Linked DNA regions of Drosophila melanogaster. The protein of the gene in region 1 interacts with the protein of each later gene in a pairwise test. Each region holds a gene or a part of one and is shown on either strand. Other genes may lie near its edges.

Evidence for each region.
Region 2: the proteins of ago (region 1) and SkpA interact in a two-hybrid assay, tested with the Drosophila melanogaster proteins (2 studies listed by BioGRID).

Annotation. Positions count from the first base shown.
Region 1 is NT_037436.4:4,248,141-4,260,897, reverse strand, and holds the start of ago (archipelago), read left to right. Parts: upstream 1-6,591; 5' UTR 6,592-6,770; intron 6,771-6,845; exon of another isoform or gene 6,846-6,909; intron 6,910-7,820; exon of another isoform or gene 7,821-7,871; intron 7,872-8,846; exon of another isoform or gene 8,847-8,916; intron 8,917-9,057; 5' UTR 9,058-9,096; coding exon 9,097-12,174; intron 12,175-12,243; coding exon 12,244-12,425; intron 12,426-12,489; coding exon 12,490-12,715; intron 12,716-12,757. Other genes in the region: CG1309 (uncharacterized protein), read right to left, coding at 1-530, 638-789, 841-1,154, 1,230-1,355; CG15011 (uncharacterized protein), read left to right, coding at 1,771-1,885, 1,952-2,562, 2,624-2,782, 2,836-2,952, 3,010-3,126, 3,183-3,314, 3,378-3,586, 3,642-3,822 and 2 more; CG1265 (uncharacterized protein), read right to left, coding at 4,968-5,098, 5,168-5,288, 5,603-5,862, 5,930-6,083. UniProt on the Drosophila melanogaster protein: Substrate recognition component of a SCF (SKP1-CUL1-F-box protein) E3 ubiquitin-protein ligase complex which mediates the ubiquitination and subsequent proteasomal degradation of target proteins. Probably recognizes and binds to phosphorylated target proteins.
Region 2 is NC_004354.4:654,330-666,162, forward strand, and holds SkpA (SKP1-related A), read left to right. Parts: upstream 1-1,784; 5' UTR 1,785-2,455; exon of another isoform or gene 2,456-2,769; 5' UTR 2,770-2,780; coding exon 2,781-3,269; 3' UTR 3,270-3,570; downstream 3,571-11,833.

The DNA.
Region 1 (12,757 bases):
GTTCAAATTACAGTAGTTTCGAATGGCTACCTTGACAATGCCCGCCAGTGCAGCTGGCATGCGAGGAACGGCCAAGTAGAGCACATCGTCGAAGGTGGCGTCTAGTACCACTCCCTTGACATCCGGATACACAGAGGCAGCGTATAGTGTACTAAAGCCACCAATGCTCCAGCCATACAAAATTATATCCTCTACGGGGAACCTAAGATTGTTGATGGCAAACTGCACCACGGCATCGATGGCGTTCTTGTCCTGGTGGGGATGAGGAGTGCCTGTGCTGCCGGCAAATCCGGGATGATTCCAGCCCAAAACGGAATACTTTAAGGCCACTGGGGTGGCCATAATGCCCACTTCATAAAAACCGGCATTGCCCTCGGAGCAAATGACTAGAGTCTTGCCATTTCCCACGTTGTTTGGGCGATTGTCAATGAACAACGTATCGATTTCGTTCGAGTCAATGGTCTTAACCTTGTAGCGGATGCCGTTGTCATCCTCGATGAGCTTGGCGCGTCCGGAGATCAGCATGGGTCCTGCAAAATATTTTAGGTTCAGTATATGTAGAAGTCTATCTTATGGGCTTATCGGATTGCAATTTAACAACATTTCAGACAGCTTCACATATGTATATCTTTCTTACTCATAAGTTTCTGGAGTAGTTTGACCGAACCCGGATAGATCATGGAGAGCCCAAAGGTGTTTATGGCCAGGTAGGCGATGGCCTCACAGGGCAGTGTCGCCAGCTGGATGGGCTCCCGCCTTCTAGCCGTAACCACCGGCTTTTTGGTATCACTGAAAACGAAGATGTTATTCTGGCACACTTCAAAGGCGTAGCCCACTCACCCGGTTAGAGCTTTCACATCAAAGTCCACCGGCCAAGCGTTGAACTCGATGTCGAAGCGACGCAGCTCGCTGTTGGCATCTCCTGGTGCCTTGGAGGACTTTGCTCGGACGAGGGCCTTAATCATGTTGGAGTAGGAGCGCGATTGCTTGCGCCCCAGGCCGCGCATCACCAGCGATAGGATGACGATGAGGCCCACGCTGGTGGTGATCTTGGCCAGCGTCGGTATGGAATCGGTCACCAGGTAGCCGCGTCGGTATAGGAATGTGACGAGCAGCGGAGAAGTATAATAGCCCACGGACCACATAACCGATAGCTGCAACGGAGAGTGTCGATTTTCCACATTACCATATGCTCCAGATTCTGCCCCATGGGATCGCAGGGCACTTACCGTCGATAGAATCTGCTCCCCGAACTTTTCCACGGCACCTGCCTCGTACATCTTGCGCTGCGGCTCCGGCACACCGCGGTATTCCATGTAGAGGTTGGGGCCAAACACGTAATTTAGGAAACTCATCTTGGATCGGATCGTAGTCGGTATGTCTGGATATATTTAATTTTCTCTATTTTATTTTGTTGCAAATGATGTGAAAGCTGTTCCAGGGTGTCGCACTCACGAACAGATGTTTAACATCGAATACCAGGGCTGCCACATTAGATACCTGACCTATTAATTGTAAACTTCAAAATGTTGGTCCAAATTATTAAATGCAATAAAATATGCAGAGAGGATGTTTGATAATTTAGGTATTAATGTGTATGTATGTATTTTTTTTGAATTAAATGAAATTCCCAATTGGAAACTGAAAGCTCACACAAATGTGTACCTTTCGGAACTAGATCCCCTAATTGCTGTTATCAGAGAACGAGCCATCCCTGGTTCTACCCCAGGAATTTATTCCCAGTTGATAGACAAAAACGCCGGCTTAAAAATGGAAAAGTTTAATAAAGCGCAAGCTAAAAATTTGGCTGCCGCCCAAAAACTGGTGGACACCTACGCCTCCAGCTCCGAGGATGAAGGCGAACTGGATGAGAATCACATTTTGGGTAAATCGACCGATGCTTGTGACGTGTCATTTGAAAACCATCAAATTTTGTGCTTTATCTTTTCAGAACTCCTATACAAGAACTACAAACCGTCGGACAACGCAGGAAGCTCAAAGGAAGCGGCACGCACCAGTACGTTTCTGGAAAACACTCTACACTCGGGAGCGGCAACCTGTCTCATTTGCATCGGAAGCATTCGGCGGGTGGAGGCCATTTGGTCTTGCGAGAGCTGTTACTGCTTCTTTCACTTGAAGTGCATCCAACGGTGGGCCAACGACAGCATGATGCAGATGAAGGTAAAGGCGGCAGAGCAGCAGAACGGCCAGGGCCACTACAATCATCTGGGCGAATTTGTGCCGCCCAAGCGACAGAAATCCCTTCACTGGTGCTGCCCCAAGTGCCGCAGGGACTACCAACCGGCCGATAAGCCCACGCAGTACAACTGCTTCTGCGGCAAGGAGGTGAACCCCGAGAACCAGCCCTTCCTTGTGCCCCACTCATGCGGAGAGCACTGCGGAAAGCTTTTGCAACCGAAGTGTGGGCACGATTGCAAGCTGCTATGTCATCCGGGGCCATGTCCTCCTTGTGCGCAGCAGGCGCAGGTCTCGTGCCTGTGTGGTAAATCTAGTCCTAGGTCCGTGAGGTGCATTGACAAGCAGTGGACGTGTCAGCAGACTGTAAGTCTTAACGTTTTAAGAAATTTTGTCTGACCACCATACTAAAAAAATGATTTTCCAGTGCAAGGAACTTCTAGCCTGCGGCAAGCACAAATGTAATCAGGTGTGTCATCAGCCAGGAAAGTGTCCTCCATGCACCAGCAAAAGCTTACAACCTTGCGAGTGCCAGCGGGAGTCGAAGATGGTCAACTGCTCCGATCGGAAATGGAAGTGTCAGAATGTAAGAAAAGCCTTTTGAAGCTGAAGCATAAAACAACATTAATATTCTTTCAGGTTTGTGGAGCTCCATTTGCTTGTGGTTTGCACATTTGCGAGAAGGTGTGTCACGCTGGACCCTGCGGAGATGGAGAGTGTCCTTTGCAAGTCAGGAGTTGCCCATGCGGCAAGAATGTATGTGATATATTTATTTACAAGTTTATATTCATTTATGATTACCTAATTCTGTAGACCCAGGTAAGACCCTGTAATGAGACAGAGGAAACCTGTGGCGATACGTGCCAAAAACTTTTGTCCTGTGGCCAGCACACTTGCACCCAGCGTTGTCATCGTGGACCTTGCATTTCCGTAAGATAGCCACCAGGGAAGCAAATCGATTCTCTAATGAAATATGTTTCTTACAGTGCCCAATAAGAACCAAAAAGAAGTGTCGTTGTGGTCTGCACGAAAAGGAGTTGCCCTGCTCCAAAGAGTTTGCATGCGAGACTAAATGCAAGCAAATGCGTGATTGCGGCAAGCATGCATGCAATAGAAAGGTATAAGAGCACGCAAGCATTTTAAATGTATACAGCCGAATTAACCAATAACCTTTTTTAAAGTGCTGTGGGGACCAGTGTCCACCGTGCGAAAAGATTTGTGGCAAGCAGCTGAGCTGCAACAAGCACAAATGTCAGTCCGTGTGCCACAACGGACCTTGCTATCCGTGTAAACTGGAATCCCAGATTAACTGCCGCTGTGGAAAGACCAAAAAAAGTGTTCCTTGTGGCAGGGAAAGAAGTGCACGCATTGTCTGCTTGGAACTCTGTCGGTTCGTATTTCTTTCGCAATATATAATGACCGACTTTTAATCTCACTTCTTGCAGCATAACTCCCAAATGTCACCATGCCATTAAGCATCGTTGTCACAAGGGTGACTGTCCTCCATGTGGCCAAGTGTGCGGTCTACCCAATGACACCAGCAAGTGTGGGCACATCTGTAAGGCACGATGCCACGAGGCAGTTAGAGTTAATAAACCCAAAGAGGCTAGGCCACAGGCCAAAAAGGTAACTATAATCACAAAACTCACCTATCTCAACATTAAAACTCTACAATTTGTTTTACAGTATGAGTATAAGGCATTACCACATCCACGGTGCGAGGAAGGCGTCATTGTCACCTGTATCGGAGGTCATGAGGTTGCCACTTGGCCATGCTGGAACTCCAAACCCACTTCCTGTCAGCGATCGTGTGCACGTCAGCTTAAGTGCGGCAATCACAAGTGTTCATTGGTTTGCCATTTCGTACCGCTTCCCCAGGATATGTCTGCGCAAACTGGCTGTGCCAACTGCGAGGAGGGTTGCACCGTTCCCCGACCAACCGGATGTATTCACGCCTGTCCCAAAGGATGTCATCCACCGCCCTGTGCGCCCTGCAACTTTGTGATTAAGACCAAGTGTCACTGTGGACTCAACCAGTTGGTTTACAAGTGCAACGAGTATTATGATGAAACGGGATCGGTCCAGGAGATCATCGAGCGAAGAGAAAAGCTACGGAGCTGCGGTAATCGATGCTTGAAGAATGTAAGTGCTGTAATATACCATTGTCGATCAAGCCTTACAGTGATATATATATTTTTTCAGTATCCTTGCGGACATCGCTGCACAGCCATCTGCCACACAGGCAAGTGCCCAAATCCCGAGTTGTGCCGCAAGAAGGTTCGCATTTTCTGCGCCTGCAAGCGACTCAAGCAGGAGATTGCCTGTGACAAACACCGTGCTGGTCAGACATTCTTGGATTGCGACTCGAACTGCAAGGCGGAGCAAATTCGCGTCCAGGCGGCAGAGCAACTGCAGCTGGAACAAAAGCGTCGCGACGAGGAAGAAAGAAACCGCCTGGAACTCGAGAAGTTCGAGGCCAAGTTCGGCAAACGCAAGCACAAGGAGCGCAAAACTGTGGGTTCTGGACCGGCCAAGACCAAGATCGATTGGCAACGTAGAGCAATCTATGCAGTATCCATTCTAACAGTTGTGGGTGCAATTGTGGTGGCTTTCTACGCGGACAGTTAAACGAGTAACAACAACCGATTCAAACAAGAATTTGTAATATCAATTTAAACAGATAAGCAAATAGAATTAAAACAATGACTGATAAGCATTTCCAGCCAGCGCAGTGTTTGTCTATGTTGAGCTTTTCTAATCAGGCTGGCCAATTACTCCGCCTTGGCCTTCTTCTTGTAGACGCAAGCGGCGGTGAAAACGGAGGCGCTAAGGAACGTCGAAATCAGGAAGTTTGATAGCAACATCCAATCGTGGGACTGGAAGAACACCGTGTAGATTCGAGCTGTAAGGGATACATATATGATGTGTTAATTGATGACATCAAGTGATGGAATGCAAGATGTGATCTCACTCATGTTTGTAAAGGCGGAGAGCGCCCATGTGGTTCTACTGACGGAACTGGCATCCTTGGTCCTCAGAATAGCCAGCAGCTGGAGGACCTTACTCGTGGCTCCAATGGGAGTGCAGAAAGGCTGACGGGAAATCAAACATTTAGATGAATTTCACGAGATTTATATATATTGCCCGAGCACTGAAAGTATTAATAGCCGCTCAAATATTATACAACAAACATCGGTGACCTTGAGCGAAGATGCTGCCCAGTTAAGAGCACCGCCTTTTCAAACTAAAACAAATAACAAATCAAACCAAACCCGTTTGCCCGGAAACATAATTAGTTAATTGGAAAAGAGAGCGGGGAACGGGTTTGAACTGCGCCGAAGTCGTTATCTGGGCAAGAATACCCGACTAATCAGTCACTAGGTGATATCAATACAGGCTTACTCACCACCAGGAACTTAAGGATGATAATGGGAAAGAGCTTCATGTATATGAGAGTGGCCACTATACTATACAGTATGGCCACCACTTGCGTCCTCCTTCCCAGCAGATCCTGGTACTTGAAGGCGTAGTAAATCAGGGCGTACTCCTGCAGCAGCAAAACAGGATACTCCATGTACGAGAGGAAGTCGTAGCCACTGGTGTAGTTGTACGACAACATCACCGTATAACTGAACAGCTCCAGGCACAGTCCCAAAACACTGATGCCTAATTCATAAATCCGTATCATATGAGTGGGAGGATAGGTTGCAGATGTTGTGTGGGCGGTGCTCACCTTTCGAGGACTCGTTCGCCCGTATCGTGTTTATCTGCGGAACCTTGATCACCAGGCAGGACGAGACCGTTATCAGGCTAAGGAGGTCCGCCACCACGAGCACTGGGCCGCGCTCCAGGTATTCGGACACCACATCTCCGAGAGCTCCACTCATAGCGACCGTCGAAATTCGAAATTTGCAGCTTCTGAGTGTGACCTTAACATTGTGTGGACGGAAATGCTAGTGTTACCACACTCTATCACTAGTAAACAAATTAACGATATTTGCTGTAATGGTTTCTAATTATTTTATAACATAGCAATAAATAACAAACTCATGTCATTTTTAGGGTTTTCAAGAAATTTCTATAAGTTATAAAATATAAGTATAAAAATTAAAAACTATGAAAATAGAAACAAGTTTTTTAAACATATAATAATTTTAGTAATTAAGCAATCAAAAATATAATATAAAATATAAGCAATCAAAAAAGAAAAGTAGAATTGCTGAGCAATTAAATTGTGTAAGAAACACGTTTATTATTACAACACATAAATAATTCATGAAATCCATACATATAAACAACTTGCAGAGTATCACATTTTTTAAAACCAAGCTCGAGTCACGCGGAGACCATCACATCCCTAACTTAAGCCGTGAATTCCCATGGTATATTTGAACGGTCGAGCGGTGGTCACACTGGATCCGCATTAGTTTTTTTTCGGGTCCAAAATCTGTCCAAATCCGCAAATTGCACGCATATTCTAGTATCTGAAAACCAGAAATTTAGATAGACTGGGTACAGAGTCATCTGAAAAACGCAAAAATTAGGCAATCTCCGAGGAGCAACGTCCTTAAAACGTATGTGAAAAATTCGATTGAACGTGTGTGTGCTGTGTTGCGCCTGTATGTGTGAGAGTGGGCCCCAAACGCAAAAAGTTTTACACGCGTTAAATGTGCAGTTGAAAACCTGAAAACAAATTGTGCCCGCTAAAGTGGGGTGTGTTTTTTTAGTGCCCCCTCCACGTTGGCTGCCCTTAAAGTTTATAAACAATGTGCAAGGCACCACGCGAACTCAAACTTTAGCTGCGAGCGAGCGAGCGAGTGGGTTCGTCTGTGTGCGTGACTCTGCCTGTGTGTACAACAATGTCCACATTTTTCTTTTGTTGTTTGCTCCACGAATTATGGGGCTATCCCCTCCGTGTTCCAACCGCTGCATTTGCAGGTGCAGAAAAGTGGGGTTAGGATGGTCAAAGAGTCCGTAAGGAACGCTCAGCGTGCTGCAATCGCTGCTCTGAATTTGCAACGAAAGTAATCTATTTTTGGGGGATTTGGGACCACAGGTCTCTGCCCATTATCCGCGTTGGTGTGCGTCTGTGTGTATGCAGCGATTATGACGACTCCACACCCGTGGCTAAATCCACAGAGAGAAAATGTTCTCGAGCGCATCCCCGATGTTCGACCAAAGTGTCCTGTGTGGCACAGGTAAAAACGCGTATCGAAATGCGGTGTGAAAGCGGAGACCCTAAAAACATATTTTACGTTTTTTCGGGAGGTCAACAGCCAAAGGCCACGAGCCAGGGGTGGGGAAGGAGGAGGAGGAGGAGAAGCAGTAGAAGGAGGGTGGGAAGAGAATGAATACGAATATGGGAAAATGTTCGGGAGAAATGCCTGCACATCTGATCTGTTTCGGCAGTGATGCAACAGCAGGAGCGCTGAAAATTCCTTTGTGATCTCGCCCCTTTTGTTCTGCGGATGCTGCGCTGCAATGGCTGATCTTTGCTTCTTCTCCTTCTCCTTGGTTTTCTTGTCCCCTCCCCTGGATCTTCCAATCTCTGCCTACGGCGATCCCTTTTTCTACTCTCTCGGGTGCGTGTGTGTGTCTGTGCGCTGGTAGGATGTGATGGCCAGTCAAGCTGCTGTCAAACATCAGAGATGCGCAGCTGCGATTTTTCAGTCACGGTGAATGGAAGCTGGCTAGGATCAATGAATTTCTAGAGAATAGGGACTACTATCATACAATTTACAAACATCTTAGCCCTAATAATTAATGATTTCTTTCCGTTCTCCAGGAAAAGAAAGTCAGTTTGCACAAATAATTTGTTTTACAGAATGACTAATATCTTGTTATTTGGAATTTCGGTTTCGACTAAATGTTTGCGATTTTATATAGCCCATGTAAAAAACTCACGTTTTAATGTAACTTTTTAAAATGGATGACTAATACGTATGTATTTTGGAAAGTCAACAACTCTGTGACTCAGCATATTGGCAGAAGTAATCTTAGCTTGGGCTTGGCTCAGCTCTAGTCAGCAAGAAATGTTTCGTGACTATAGATTTCACAGTTCTATTAGTAACAACCAACGCAGTTTATTAAAACGATTTACTAATGTACATTTTAACTTTAGTTGGGTGTCGAAACTATTTGAATATGGTCATACACTTCTTTAGTATAAAAATTATTTGGAAGGCTTTTCCTATTAGTTCGGTGACTGTTTCCCGATCACCAGTGACTTTCCCGCGTTGATCATCTCTGAAAGTCAGTAAAAAGCGGAGGGAAAAGATAGCGGCTTGAATTGCAAGGTGTACGTGGTGTTGTTGTTATTGTTGTTCTTGTTTGGTGCTGCGGCTGCTGTGTATCTTTGGTGCTTCTTCTTCTCACGTCCGTTACTTCTCGCTCTTCACTCTCTTTACAATACCTTTTGCTGTTGTCTCTCTTTTTAGGGTATGTGTGTGTGTCTGTTTGTGGTGTTTTTGTTGTAATACCCGTTTCGTCTTCTTTTGCCCATTCTACTTCGCGCCGTTTTAGCCTCTTCCTCGATGCACTTTTGTGATTTCCTTTTTCGAGTTCCAACGACGCCGGCAGAGGCAGCGTCGTTACAACAAATTTTTCCCACTGCTTTTCATTCCCTTGGATTTAATTTTTTTTTGCAACCATCAGTTTGCGCTTGTTGCGTGGGAATTTCGGATCATCTTGGATTCTCAGGGCACAAAAGGATCGTTCATTGTAAGCGGTGTAAAATTTGTCATACCTTGGGTTTGAAATTTTCATAGCGTCTATTTTCAACACTATTATTCACTTTTCCATAAGTGCTTCCTCGTGTTACCAGCTTCCAACCATTCGATAACCAATCTTTAACATTTGCAGGAGAACGCATTACCCACTTTTGAATGCCTGTAAAGTATTATGGAAAGAGGATGCCCAGCTGCTAGCAGTGAATCCGTGACCAGTGCAGGGGAGCGTACTCAGTCAGCAGTCACCAGCTCCACCTCCACGTGGGTCAAGAGTCAGGCCTCAACCAGCCGAAAAACAGAAGCATCAGAAGAATCGGGATTAGGAGCAGTAGACGCAGAAGTAGGAGCCGGCAGAGAAGCCTTTGTATCTATGTCAACGCTGCGGGAGGATGTGGAGGACGTGTGTGTGTCGTCAAACTCACAACATGGTTTCGCCGTAGTTTTGGACGACGAGTCCAGCACATTTGAGATTAGCTCTTCCAACTCACTGCCCACCAGTGCGGGGGCGGCGTCCACAGTGGGAGTGGTGGCCGTCGACGACAGCTCCTCCACGGATACCTTGAACGGTGGTCATCCTGACTTAGGTCACCCCGCCTCATCGGAACACAGTCGTCAGGGCTTTTTTAATGAGGATAATGAAGATCCTCCGGTTGTATGCCTTATAAACGACGATGACGATGATGAGGAACCCGAGCCGGAGGAGGACGATGAGGAGGAACTGATTGAAGACGAGGACGAGGACGCAGTGGACATTGTAACGGGCGCCATCAGCTGCCCCAACACATCACAGTTGGCTTTAGCCGACGGCACCATCATGGCGGCCGATGGATCTAAGATCTTCCTGGAGACGCCCGTCGTGGAGGAGGCCCAGCCGCATCCCGGTCAGGTAGTCACAACGGGATCCCAGTCGGAGCTCACAGGCAAGCCAAAAAGATTGAGCGATGAGTTCTTGCTGGGTGAGGAAGACCAAGCAGAGAACCTGGCTTTGGGAAGATGTATTAAGTCTGAGCCGGTTAATCCCGTGGACGACAATCCATCTGAAGGCGACGATGGGGCTACTTGCTTCTCACTACATGACCGTCTTATGTCAGTGCGCCTGAAGCAGATGAGCCTCACGGCCAACACCGTTTCGAATCCCTCGCCAGCAGCCTCTGCCAACGCCGCCGCCCCAGAGGAGGCCTCCACTTCCAACTCCAGCTCAACCTCCAGCTCTGCCTTGTCGAGGGCAGACATTGAGTCCATGGATCTGATCGAGCGTCGCGACTTTGAGACGGAGCAGCGTCTCACGGGCGGCATAATCCTGCGTACCAGCTCCATGGTGAGCCAGAACAAACTGAATCTAAGTCTGATCAAGTCCATGGCGGGGGGAAGCAAGGCGGCCAATGGATCGGGTACGGCCAACAGTGACGACTGGCCCAGCAGCAGCAATGGGCGGACCGTCTCATCGGACAGCAAGTACACCTACAAGGATCTGTCCACGACTCCAACGAGCAGTCGCAAGTACACGAATAGCCGGCTAAGCAAGTCCACTGCCAAATTAAATCTGGGATCCTCGTTGGGCGCCTCCAGCTGCAGCCAGCACCGGAGTGGTTCCAGTTCCACTTCAAAATCCATGGAGTCATCGACCAGTTGCACTGGAGCTGCCCGAACGGACGTTTACACAAACACCAACTCGAATGATTACCCCAGTCTGGCTCCAACCACGTCTGGTTCGTCCACATCCGGGGGAAGCTGTCAACAGGATCAGGAGGAGAATGTGAGTGCATCCGTCTCGTATAGCTCGGTGGGATCGCAGACCTCTCAGGAAAGTGGTTGCAGTCGCACCACTGCCATCAATCCAACAGCTGCCTGCTCCACCGGATCGGCCTGCTTGGGTGACTCTCAGGCCTCGACATCGGCTTCTACCTCGTCCGGAGCCGGAGCGTCCAACCGTTGCCAGTATGCCACTACATCGACGACAAAGGCAGCTCGCCAGGTTAATGCCAGCGCCCAAACCCAGGAGCGTTTCCTGACTCGCAGCAATCCTCCAGCTGCTAGTGGAGCGGGGTCGGTTGGGGCAAACCCGACAGCATCTGTTCGGCAACGGCGAAACGGTTCCAGCGATGTTGTCCACCTGGAAGTGGTGGTGGAAGAGGGAGCTGGCGGAGGGGACGGCGGCGTGGTGGAGCCCGGCGACTTTAGTGCCGAGGAACCTTGGGCCAACTGCGATGAGGAGAACAACTGTTCCGATCTGGAGGAGATTTGCACATGCCAGAACGGTAACGGAAGCAGCTACGGCGGAAGCAATGCCAGTCTCAGCGAGACTTTCGACATGGACGCCATGGATCCCGATGAGCCCATTTCCTTGTCGCTGTCCTCTGCCTCAGCTGGCTTCACCGAATACTCGCTGACCAATCCCAGCTCGCTAATGTCTCATCAGCGCAAACGAAAGTTCAACGAGGGACGTCTGCTGGATGGCGGCGACTACTCGGTGACTATATCTTCCAGCGGCGAAGTGGGCGGACCGGGTTCAGGTGTGAGCGATAATTGCCGCAAGCGGATTGCCTATGATTTTGCATCTACGCCGCGCTCCTCGCAACATTTGGGACCCACGGCAGTGCTATCGGTGACGCCCTCATCGCATCTGACTAGCTCCACGCCGGGATCGGCTTTGGGTCGTCGCACCCCACGTTCCGTGCCGTCTCGTGACAATCCGCCACCAGAGCTGCAGCACTGGTTGGCACAATTCCAACGATGGTCCCATGTCGAGCGATTGCTGGCCCTGGACCGTCTCATCGATCACTGCGATCCGTCTCAGGTGCGGCACATGATGAAGGTGATTGAGCCGCAGTTCCAGCGGGACTTCATCTCCCTGCTGCCAAGAGAGCTAGCCCTCTTTGTGCTCTCGTACTTGGAGCCCAAAGACTTGCTGAGGGCAGCGCAGACCTGCCGCAGCTGGCGCTTCCTGTGCGACGACAATCTGTTGTGGAAGGAGAAGTGCCGCAAAGCCCAGATCCTCGCCGAGCCGCGTAGTGATCGCCCGAAACGGGGACGCGATGGCAACATGCCGCCAATTGCTTCGCCCTGGAAGGCCGCCTACATGCGTCAGCACATCATCGAAATGAACTGGCGGTCGCGACCTGTGCGCAAGCCCAAGGTACTCAAGGGCCACGACGATCATGTGATTACGTGCCTGCAGTTCTCTGGCAATCGCATTGTGTCCGGCTCCGATGACAATACACTTAAAGTATGGTCAGCGGTGAACGGAAAGGTGAGTAAATCGAACAAGCAATCATTTAATGTTTCCCTGCTAACGAGATATCTTTCTCAACAACTGTAGTGCCTGCGCACTTTGGTTGGTCACACCGGTGGTGTTTGGTCTTCCCAAATGTCCGGAAATATCATCATTTCAGGCAGCACGGATCGCACGCTCAAAGTCTGGGACATGGACAGCGGCGCATGTGTGCACACACTTCAGGGGCATACGTCCACTGTGCGGTGTATGCATTTGCATGGCAGCAAGTAAGTTAAAACCACACACAACTATCCACTAACCAATGCTGATTGTTGACGAATTTCTCAACAGAGTGGTCAGTGGCTCGCGAGACGCAACCTTGAGGGTTTGGGACATTGAACAAGGCTCCTGTCTGCACGTTTTGGTTGGTCACTTGGCTGCTGTGCGTTGTGTGCAGTACGATGGGAAGCTGATTGTGTCCGGAGCGTATGATTATATGGTGAAGATCTGGCATCCGGAGCGCCAGGAGTGCCTGCACACACTGCAGGGCCACACAAATCGCGTCTACTCGCTGCAGGTAAGATAGTCAACACTTCTTTGTCGGACTTTGCCGTAAACC
Region 2 (11,833 bases), on another chromosome or scaffold:
AGACTAGGACAAAGGCAAACGTCCTGCACCCATACATACACACTCTCTCACAGGATTGGATGACTTGCAATAATCCTCAATCCGCAAACCATATGTTCCGGCATTTTGCCAATATATTCGCTCCGTTGAAAATGGCCCTAATTTAGTTTTTATTCCTACGGCTTCGCGTTTGAAAGAGAGAGAGAGAGACCGAGAAAGAGGGGGCTTGTAACTGATGTCGTCGACAGCCATCCCTCTCGCTCGCACTTATTCCAAGCCCTTTTAGCCCATGCACACACACGTTTAACAAAAATCAATTAACTTGAAAGCACATGTAAAAAAAAGTATTGATCCACAAAAAACAAAAGGCACTTCGGTAATCCTGGAATACACACACTTACTGCCGAAAATATTTAAAATGAATGGGTACGCGTATATATTTATATGCTGGTGAACAAAAGGCGAGCATAACAAAAATGTCTTATCGATTTGCATGCGCAGCAGACAGTAATTGCAAATCTTGTATTTTCTTGAGTCTGTGCAACAACTGAAATACCTTTCTGGGCATAAACTATCATAAACACAAGTGGGTGGTGCTGGGAAACATCGCTGGAATTGAATATTTGTTTGTTGGTCGATTTGTTCTGAATGGAAACGAATGTCGTTTGCAAATTGCTCTCTCAGCTGTTTACAAACGCATACCACATAACGCAGGTGAGAGAGAGAGGGAGGCATATGCGCAGTGAGAATGGAAGATGAAGGGTTGCCAAGTGCGCAAAGGCTTGCAAATTAAGTACACTTGTGTGCGGGGTAACCGAAAAACGGGTGTTTACAATAAATTTCGCTGGGTGGATGTAGCTTTGTAATTTGAGTTCGCCAATTTTTTTTGTTGTTAACAGCATTTCGAAGCGGTTGCCAACCCTAGACGCTGGCTGGTTGCATGGTAACGAAAAATGGCGGCGCCTGTTACACACACTCACACACACATGCACGCACAGTCTGCTGTGTTTATGCACTTCATGCTGTTCCGATTTTTTTTTTGCACTTTTTCGATTTGTTGTCTGCATTTACCTTAAATGAATTTATTAACTAAGGCGATATTGTGCCTCTCGCTCAATCTCGCAAAACGATGCTTTGTCTGCTGCTTCTCTGTGCGTGTGTCCGTCTCTTTCCACGGCTTTTCGTCGAGACTCACATATACAAACGGCGACACACTGGATTGGAGCTGGACTCCGTTTTGGATGGCTTGGCTTTGGCTGCGTACCCAAAATAAATCGCGCTTGCAGTCCCAAATCATTTTAGTTCTTGACGCCTTTGTTCCACAAAAACTTCCAACCGCCGTCCATGGCTCGTGCTTTCTCTTTCGCTCGCGAGACGCTCCAAAAGTCGCGAGTATGGGAAGAGAATGTATCCCTCGCTCTTTCACGCCTAGAAGCGGCTGTAGCACACACAAGCACACGTAAACCCAGCCGTATGCATATACATATATTCCCTCTACTAGCGAGACGTGTGTACGTGCGTATGTATGTATGCTTTTTTCACTTCTTTCTCCTCTGCGTTCTTTGCACCAAGTGTCGCTGTTGCTATTTGCTACCGCCGCTCCTCTTGACGAATAAGTCGGGACTTGTATCAGCTCTAATTCGGACTTAGTTTACAAAATGCGGCTGCTTTTTTTCCGCGATACTCGGATTAGTGATGTAAAAAGACGTTGATGCTTCGACCACTGAAGTCAGTGCGATATGTATCGATAATTGAATGCCATCGATTGCTACGATTAAAACTGCCACCGCAGTTAGCGGAGACGCTCACCATTCTCTATTCGCCATTTGAAAGTATCGGTGTAATTTGTTTTCAGAGAAATTAATTTCCGTTTACTGTGCAATTCGGTGTGAAAGTGTTCAGATTTATCAATGCGTATTCTGCTTTCGACTTCGCCACCAATCTGTGCTGCAAGTTACCATTACCAGGTCCACCTGGTTCCCGCCAGTTTTCTTTCATTGTGGCTAGTTGTTGTTCGTGCCTTCGATAAAGACGTTTAGAGGTGTTTTTAGAGTTTCGCCATCTGGTCACTATAGCCGTTTCGTTTTTTACGTGAGTATTGTGAATTTGGTGTGTTGATTTATATCTCAGTTGGAGCCTGCGTGGAAATAGTGTCAGTACGTTTAAAGGCATCATCGTAAGGTTAGTCGGAAAACAAATAAAAAGCCTACAAATAGCAAGCAAGAACGCTTTCGCAACCACAAGAAAAACGAACATACGCACGCATCCATCTGTGGTAGAGTCGGCTTGTGTGGGGGTGAGTGGATGTGTGGGTGAGCATTTCTGGAAAGTGCCGTTCTCTATGTTTCGATTCTACTTATCCCTTCATCACCATTTCATCGTTGAATCATCACGAAAGAAACATCGAAAGTGCACAATCGTTTGTTATCTTTGTACGAAAACAACGGTGATTTCCACACAGGCATAACCTGCAAGAGTAATACGATACAAATTTTGATCTGATATGACCTCATTTTAGTCGGTTTGAATTTTAAAGAGAGCGACTCTGCAAACTGCAGGGATATGAACATACAAAATTCACAAATGATTGTTTGCATCCTAGTTGCTTATATTCATTTACACGCATGCTTATATGCTTACATCTGTTATCAATAATTGACGACTTGGTGCATGCGAAGCAAACGCATTGAAATGACTATTGGGATCCACACACTGTTAAAAAACACACTGATTGCACTGCCACACATTTCTCAACTAGAACCTAATGTTTTATACTGAACTTAACTGCAGGAAAGCCCAAAATGCCCAGCATCAAGTTGCAATCTTCGGATGAGGAGATCTTTGACACGGATATCCAGATCGCCAAGTGCTCCGGCACTATCAAGACCATGCTGGAGGACTGCGGCATGGAGGACGATGAGAATGCCATTGTGCCGTTGCCCAATGTGAATTCGACGATTCTTCGCAAGGTGCTTACCTGGGCTCACTACCACAAGGACGACCCCCAGCCAACGGAGGATGATGAGAGCAAGGAGAAGCGCACAGACGACATTATCTCATGGGATGCAGATTTCCTAAAAGTCGACCAGGGCACACTGTTTGAGCTGATATTGGCAGCGAACTATCTGGACATTAAGGGCCTTCTGGAGCTCACCTGCAAGACTGTTGCAAACATGATTAAGGGAAAGACTCCCGAGGAAATACGCAAGACCTTCAACATTAAGAAGGACTTTTCGCCCGCCGAGGAGGAGCAGGTGCGCAAGGAGAACGAGTGGTGCGAGGAGAAGTAAAGCGCGGCATTTCGCGGGACCAACATTAAGTTGAAACAGCTAGGGGATTCGGGAACGAATTGGATTTGCAGCATTGCAACTTTACTTAGTTGCTACTTTCATTTACATTTTTTTTTATTTTTAACCCCAGCAGAGACTCGATTTAAATTGTGTATAAATGATCTGTTGCTGATTTGATTCGCGGGGTTCATTTTTTGTCGTAAATATATCTCATATACATACATATGCGAGATTGTAACACTCTCTTTAACCTATTGGAGTAACACTTGATTTCACTTTAATAAATATAACTACCCAACACAAAGACACAGCCTATTTTGTGGGCTTCCCGGAGGGGTTAGGGTCCAAGGACTTCTCAAATTAAGAAGTGCTCTTTATTCGTTATCTTGTGTTTAGAAACGTTTGCAAGCGTTTGAAATGGATACGCATGCCATTTATGGTCCAGTCGGTAAAATTTTACGTGTTCCCAAGAAGGTACATATATATCTTAGATTATCTTATCTATAGAAACTACATTCATAAGATCACGCTTTCGGCGAATAGCGAGTAATACTGTAGCTGCCACTTTGCCACTTAGTGTGCAATTGAAATGCGCGCCAACGCATGTTCTCATATGCGGAGCGTTTAGCAGCCCTTAAAAAGCTTTTCATGTTGCTTTTAAAAAGCTACGACGGGTGTGGAAATTAGATTTGTGACGCTTTATATATCTTTTTTTTATATCGTCTGGGGTACAGCATGGTTTTAGGATTTTAGAAGAAAGCAGTAATTTTGTAAGAATCGAAGAACGGGGGGATATTTATAATTTTCATATTAACCTTGTCTTTGTTTGCTTTTGAAATTATGAATACTTCGAAAGATAATTATCTTGTGCGCATTCCATTCTGGCTTAGACTGGGTTGAGCTAAAAATGATTTGAAATACAAATTTTTAGGTGTCCGCTGATATATAAACAGTATGATGTTTTTGCACTTTTTTCCCTGAAGTTTTCCTTGTTGTCTCGCTTGCCAATGCTGAACAAAGTAGCCAAAGGACCTTTACTTGAAGCTTTGAGAGCGGAAAATATATTCGGGGACAATTGCTTTAAGTGTGCACTAGGCTTGGCTAGATGCCCGTGCCAAACTTTCTTTGGAATTGATCGCTGGCCTTAGCCAAAAGTGGAAAAAAGAAAGGATAGGATAGTGCCGCACGTATTAAGGGTCTTCTTACAAAAGGTAACTGATATTAATTCATTTGCATACTAAGCAAGCTAACTCATCTGTTTATTGCAAACAAGCGCCAATTGAAGTTTTATCGAAGCTCAGGGCAGCGCCAATTGCCTCGTGAGTTATGGTAGCTCAGCGCGTCAAGGGGCGTGGCTATTGTCCTCGTCTTGGGGCCAGGGGGCTCTCCATTTCAATTACCACGGGGAGAAAGGGGGCTGTGTTCTTGAGTCAAAGACTGAGGTGAAAGGCAGGCAACGCAAAGAAAAGAAAAGAAAGCACGGCGGAGCCAAAAAATTGTAAAGCGGCCTGAGCAGAGGAGCGGAAAAGAAGAAAGGACCTTCCACTCCCCCAGCCAACTTGGCAGTGCCAAGGAGTAATTAGTGTGCATTTCCTTGGACCCACCGACTCACCCCCCCCCCACCCACCCTATCCCCTTGCTGCGTGTGTTTGTGCAACATTTGCTTTTCCACTTCGTTTGCGACAATCAAATGTAACAAAGGAGCGAAAAAAGGTTGCACAAAAAAGTGGGAAAACAAAGCTGAGATGGGGAAGTGCAAGGAAGAGGAAAGATCGGAGGCAGAAATACACTGGGAAAAAAAGAGAAACATTTCCCAATTGAACAGGGGCACACGGAATGCAACACCTCAGGTCCCCCAAGCAAAACGATATAGCATCAAACCAATCACCATGTGTAGCCTCTGAAAGTATGCTATAAATGATTGAGTAATTGAAAATGTATTTGCCTACAGTGCATCTGCCGGCACAACTGCCATGTGCCATCGCCACTCCACACTCACCTGGCTGCGCCCTCTTATCGTCTAAGTCGTCGTCCTCCGCCGGAACGTGACATTGAATACGTCTGCATCCTGGTGGCTGCTTCCGCTCCTTCAGCAGCTGCTGGCCCCTCTCCCAGCTCGCTCGGGCGATTTCTTCCACTCCTCATCTCCTGGCCAGGCCAGGCCAATGCTAATCTCTCTGTAATTAAGACTGTCACTCATTCAGGCAGTCAGGCAGTTGCTTTCCGCTCAGTTTGCCCATCTTGGGAAGTTTCCAGGTCCTGCTCTTTTTCGTCCTTGCTTCAGTGGCGTGGGCGAATGAATGGGAGGCACATTTGAATTGCCTTTAATTGCATGTTGTTTTTCCCACTCCCAGTTTGATTGTAGTGCATCCAACGCATCCCGTACATCCCTAATGGAATAGTCTCCTCGCTTCGAGACAATTTTTTAGGGGCATAATGTAAGCGGGGTGATAAAAGGCTTGGATTTCATGCTCAGGATCAACTCGTCAGGGGATCACAGGGGTTGAAATTGGCTGGTCTAAATGCGATTTCTATTCACTTCCACTTGACTTACGAGTTGGCTAAGTTTTTCACAGGGATGCAACAGTCAGTTGATGGGGGTAACAAAGGGCCAAGCCGGGTAGTTAGGATTGCATAGAGAGCTCGCTTCTTCTAAATATTACAATGGCAAGGGGAAAAGCCTACACCATAGTCATTAAAGTCGTACAGCACAGCTTCAATTTTATTTGGATAGAATTTCTTTAATTTATATCGATACTAATAAGAAATCTTTATCTTTTATAGTGCAAGTGACACACATTGTTCCACCAATTAAGAGCGACGCCCGTTTAGCAGCCCAACTAGTGTCACCCAGTAAATTTACGATAAACAGATTTTCGCTGCCCGAGCTTCCCGGGATTCGTTCTATTTGTGATGACTCGAGCAAACTTTGGATCTGCCGGAGACTTCAACTTGGACTCCACTACTCGACTCTATTAATACCAGAGTGCTGGATTTCCCCTCCCGGCAGAAACCCGAGATTTATGGCTTCCACTGGGAATGCGTGGGATGTTATCGTAGGACTTGGACTGCGGCCCACATATCGGCGGAGATGGGGCTCTCGGGTGGAGATTCTGCTGAAACGTTTTGTTTATTATCGGAACGACGTTGTTGGCCAACTGTTTGCCTCGGCTTCTAATTCATTTGCGTAGTAACGATGATGGTGCATCGCTCGGGACACGAGGTCGACTAAAAGATTCGATCCCAACCGACTTGTTGGGCTTTGGAATATTTGAATAATTCATGGAGGAATCATTAGTTGCTCATGATTGGCACTGGATCGTATTTTTTGTAGGCTAGAGCACAGCCATCGCTGGGAATCACGTCCCACTGAAGTACTTCTCACTCCCACCTCCAAACTCTTTAGTTTGTAATTCTATTTATATGCACTCGCTCCAGAGTATCCCTATGTACTCGGATCTTGGGTAAGCATGTACTTCTTTTGGTGCAGATGGGGCTGCACACTTTTATTGTTATTGTTGCCGCTTCTGCAGTTTTGGAATCTTCATTGGCACTTGAACATGAAATGGAAATGTTCATGGCGTATCATGATTCTGTATCCATTCTCGCCCCATGCTCCTCCGAAATCTTCGCCTTGCCTTTCGAAAATTTTATTTACTCCGCCGGCCAATGACTTGCGAAAGAATTTCCTAGTGTTATTTCGGACACCATCTGCTGCCAGTTCTTGTAGGTAAGATAAACAGTGCATTTTCAAACATAAGGCTAACATCTTTGTCGTTTTGAGATGGAAAAAGTGAAATACTGAAGCTAATCGTAGAGTACCGAAAAGAGCGATCGATAGTTCGTCATTCCCCGATAATTATACTCATTCTCTTGCAGAGCAATTGGAAGCTTTTGTCCACTGCCGTGTGGCCCAGCAGATGGTGATTCCATGTGGAACACTCATAAACAGAGCGCGCTGCACACGGTTTGTGGCGTCATAAACTACTCTGTTTCATTGCAGCGCTTTTCGGCGAAAAGATTTCACAAAGTCACAAAACATTGGGGAAATTTACAGAAGAAAATGTACAATAAGCTGTCAGGCTATGAAGTATCCGAGTCCACAGTCTACATTTTGTATTTCTATCTGCATACTATCTCCATGGGCATGTTTACTTGGGTGTGATATATAATATCCGTTTCACTGAATATTGTGCTGCAATTAGCAGCAGAGTTCAGCTGACAGCTGTTGCAACGAATTCTCAATCGAGTAATAGCAGAATAGCAGAATCGAATCGGGGCTCTGAATTGGAGGAAGGGCTATACTGGGTTTAAGGGGGGGTCACTGACTATTTATGCAGGCAATGTGTGTGGACCAAGATGAAACGGAACCGGCAAAGCGTCCATGCAAATTCTTGAAATCATACACTCAAAAACACACTTGCACCGGAAAGGGTGTAAAACGGGCAAGGGAATACCAGTTGTGGACGAAATTTACATAAGAGTACAGACTAAGAAAAGATGACTATCCAGTTTCCAATGGTGAACACTGGCTTCGATAGTGCGTCAAGTAGGGCGTGCCGTAGGCAGGGAATACTCATGACGAGGTTTCAAGTGGAAAATGTAAAAAATGTAGTTTCGGAACTTCCTCACTATGTGCCATCATTTGTGGGATCACACATCCCATCTCTGGACTCCACGGCACGGAGTATTGCCCTGCCCTGTCAAATTTGGCAGCAGCTGTTCGGACCTGCTCGAGCAATTACATCTCCAGTGCCCACCACCTCCAGTGCGGTCCTATCACTTAAGCAATTGCAGCTAAGGATTGGATTGACTGGCCAAGAGAGCTTCGGTTGGTTGTGCAATGTATGTATATAAGGGCGGCCAAGGAGTCGGGTGGCTCTGCAAACGTTTGCCTTAGATAAATACTATGCCATCTGCTGCCTGAACGACGCAGGAAGGGAAGGTTCCACAGGCAGCAACAGAAGCGGGAGCAGGAGCAGGAGCAGGAGCAGGAGCTTCGAAAGATGCGGGCATCCAGAAGGTCGCATAAAAGTGTGGCATAAAATATGAATTAAAAACCAGTAGGAAAGGGTGGTAAATGCCGCGGGGGTCCGAGGGTGCAGGATGATGGACAAGCCGGAAAACCGGCAGGAAACTTCATGACCGTTCGAGTTCCTGCCCGGCTTGCATAGACAAAAGTAAAAAGTGATAAGCGGCTTAGGACTCGGCTAATGAGTCGTTACCCTATCCTCTCGTTTCTATTTAGGCCGACAATCTAATGCTGGGACTGCGTGCATATTGTATCTGCCAGTTTCGTTCCCCACCCTGCAAATAGACGTGAGTTATGCGAACTTTTTGACAGCAACTCGGATATTTTGAGCCTTCGCCCAACCCCATGCCCATGGAGAAACCCAACCGCAACTCTTACCACAAAGTATTCAAAATTAGCACGCAGCCCTGGCAAGGCACACACAAAGTTACTTGGCCGGGTGCAAAAACCATAAAAGTGAAATTGATGTCGGAACAGCCAGCTGAAAGGAGAGGGGACAGCAAGAGCAGGAGTAGGAGCAGGAGCAGGAGCAATTTCGACGGGGTGGCCGGATTATGACACGTTGCTGGTGCATAAATTAATGGCAGACTCTTCGGTTGGCACTGGGCTGTCACCTCACGGCAACCTCAAGTCATCTGGCGAGTGTCGAGATTTTCTGCGGTTTCGGGTAGATGATGGGATGTGGGTGGGATTAAGGGATGTGGAGCCATGCCCTCGATTCCCGGCCACATGGGTGCTCAACAATTCATTATCTGCTAAGAGCTATTAGCGAATCTCGTGCGATTCTGCCTCAAGGATCCTCATCCGGCTAGTTTATAAAGCTCGACTCAATCACCTGCGTACAAAATATAGAGATTTGGGCAAGCGTAATCAGTACATCGAAAAAAAAGGAAGTTTCGAGCTTAACCATCTATATCAATAACATATACAGCAGCAATAGGTCAGATTTATCCACATACAGTCGTCGTACAGTCATGAGCTTAAATGTTCCGATGGCAACTCGAGTGCTGCGTTGCTCCTGGGATGGAATTTGTGTCGATATCAATTTATAACACAATTCATCAGATATCAAGAGCCTTGAATCGAGTGCAATTTCTGCTAAATTGAAATAAGTTTGAGACATTCCCATCGATGCAATTACCCAAACTGAGTGGAAATGGTCAACGGTCGATGGAGTACACAGATAAAAAAAAACAAGTGTGGATGTGTTAAAATCGAATAATATCAAATAGATAGTTGAATAGATAGTTCATTCGTCTTGTCCGTTCGTCTGTCCGTCCGTAAGGAAGTCCAGATCTTTAACGAATAAAATAGGTTCGCAAGCGCTGCTCCTTTACTTATCATTTTTGACATGTTTTTCTCTGTGTATTATTGGCAGTGGGACATAGGCGGAACGCTGGGGGCTGCCTGCCAGAGTTATGCAATCCAAAGTCATTCGTTTGCCTGGCACTAAAAAAAGAGCTGCATGGCTCCAGGCAGCCTCCCGCCTCCTTGCTCCTTTTCCCTCATAAACCCAGCAGCCACCTTGGCTCACTCACCTGCCTTTTGCCGTGTGTTCGCTTGTTTGCTAAATGAACAATTTATTTTATTTTTTCGCTCGGCATTTCGATGTTTGCCGCTCGACACTCCTGCAAGGATATCCTGCTGCTCCATAAAGGACAACACCAAGGAAAGCTCCTTTCACCTCGCTATTTCCCCAGTTTTCTCTTTTTGCTCTGAAGTGGAAGTGGCAGTGAAGTGCGATAGTTTAGCATTTGTTTGCCTTGCTTTTGTTGCAAATGAGTGCGCTAGATTTCACTCGCATTTTATTTGCAAACAATTTTCAATGTTTTTCCACTGCGTCCCCCGCTTTTCCATTTTCCTCTTGAGATATGACACAGCGCCAGTTTTCCATTTTCCGAAAAGCAGCGAAAGTTGTCAACTCTGGCCATCGGACCGGAAATGTCCTGAACCCAATTAAAAAATCTGTGAATGTAGTCAGCAGGGATCTGCATCTCCGAAGGCTCTTCCTGCGGCGTTGCTAAGGTAATAATTTCGTCGAAATGAACCATTTAGATGCGGAATAAAATTAAAAATCCCTTTTTAACTCGCTTGCAGTATCCTTTATCAAGCTGCAGTATCATGAGCCAAACTGAAATACGCTGGTGTTAAGTTCATATTTACATAAAGGAAAATAATATGTTCAAAAACTTTCTGTTGACGTACATATGCATTCAAGATCCAGAGGCAACAATTTAATTTAATTCAGCTGGATTTCCGATCTACTTTAAAGGCATTTAATCCAGGGCGTGGCACAATGGAAAATCTCCTCCGATTTGGCCAGCATACAAAGCCAATTACGACGGCCTCCCGATGGGCCGGCCGCCCATTTTTGGCGCTGGGCGTGGCAGCGGCCACAATTAGAGCAAGTGCATCGGTAGTTCCTGGGAGCGAGACCACTTCTTCACCACCAGCTGACTGGAGCTGGAGTTCCGAACAGTTCGTCAACGAGTTTGCGTGTCGTCACGCCTCGTCTGCATTTTGATGACTGGCCGTAAAATAAAAGGGCAGGTCATGGAGTGGGAAAGGACCTATTTTATGTCGAAAGACCGCATATCCTGGTTGAATAGGAAATGTACTGCTATCTATAATTGGAAAATATTAAGTAAACAGAATTTCCAGCAGCTTCGGCAATCGATGGAAAATTAATTTACCCACTCGAGGGGTACAAAGAAGATTACATCGGGTAAGGGAAGCTCATAAAAAAAAGAAGAGAGAATGCTACAATCGCGTTCTCCGGCTATTAGATATCCGTTACTTAGCTAGTGTGAATGCGAATGCGAAATTTCATCATTTTTCTGGGATATCGATAGATATTGGGAAATAAAATGATAAACAATTTAAATGATGGTTTAGGGCGCTAGAGTAGGCGTGGCAACATGGGTCAACAATTTTGCGCTGTGTCTTTGTCTCTAGAATACGTATTCTAGCCTTCTAGCTTTTATAGTTCCTGAGATCTCAACGTTCATACCGACAGACGGACATTTCCATATCGTCTCGGCTATTGATCCTGATCGAGAATATATATACTTTATATAATCGGAAACGCATCCTTCTGCCTAATTGGACTCCACGAGTTACGGGTATAATCACTCATACGAACTGAGGCCCTGTTTGAATTGATCGCTCGCTCAGTATGCCATTTCAAATAGTTGTAATTGAGGGGGTTCTGTGCGCCATGTGGCAAATCCCAAAATATATTCTATGTCAATCCCTAGCTGGCTTACACCCGGCCATCCCGTCGCCCACTTTTCCGGGGGAGCGACTTAGCCTTGGCTCAGCTTTCCACTTAACCTTTTTCGCTTGGCTAAGGCCATGGCTCGGGCTTGGCTTTGGTTTTTGGCTTGTCTCGGCCTTGTCCTCTTGTCATCCGCGCGCTGTCGTCGTTTCCTTCTACTTGTTGCCCCCTGTCACACCACCGACTTCGCAGATTATCGCCCCAACATGGGGCGTCACTGAAAGAAAAACTACTTTAGAACAAATACTCCTTTAA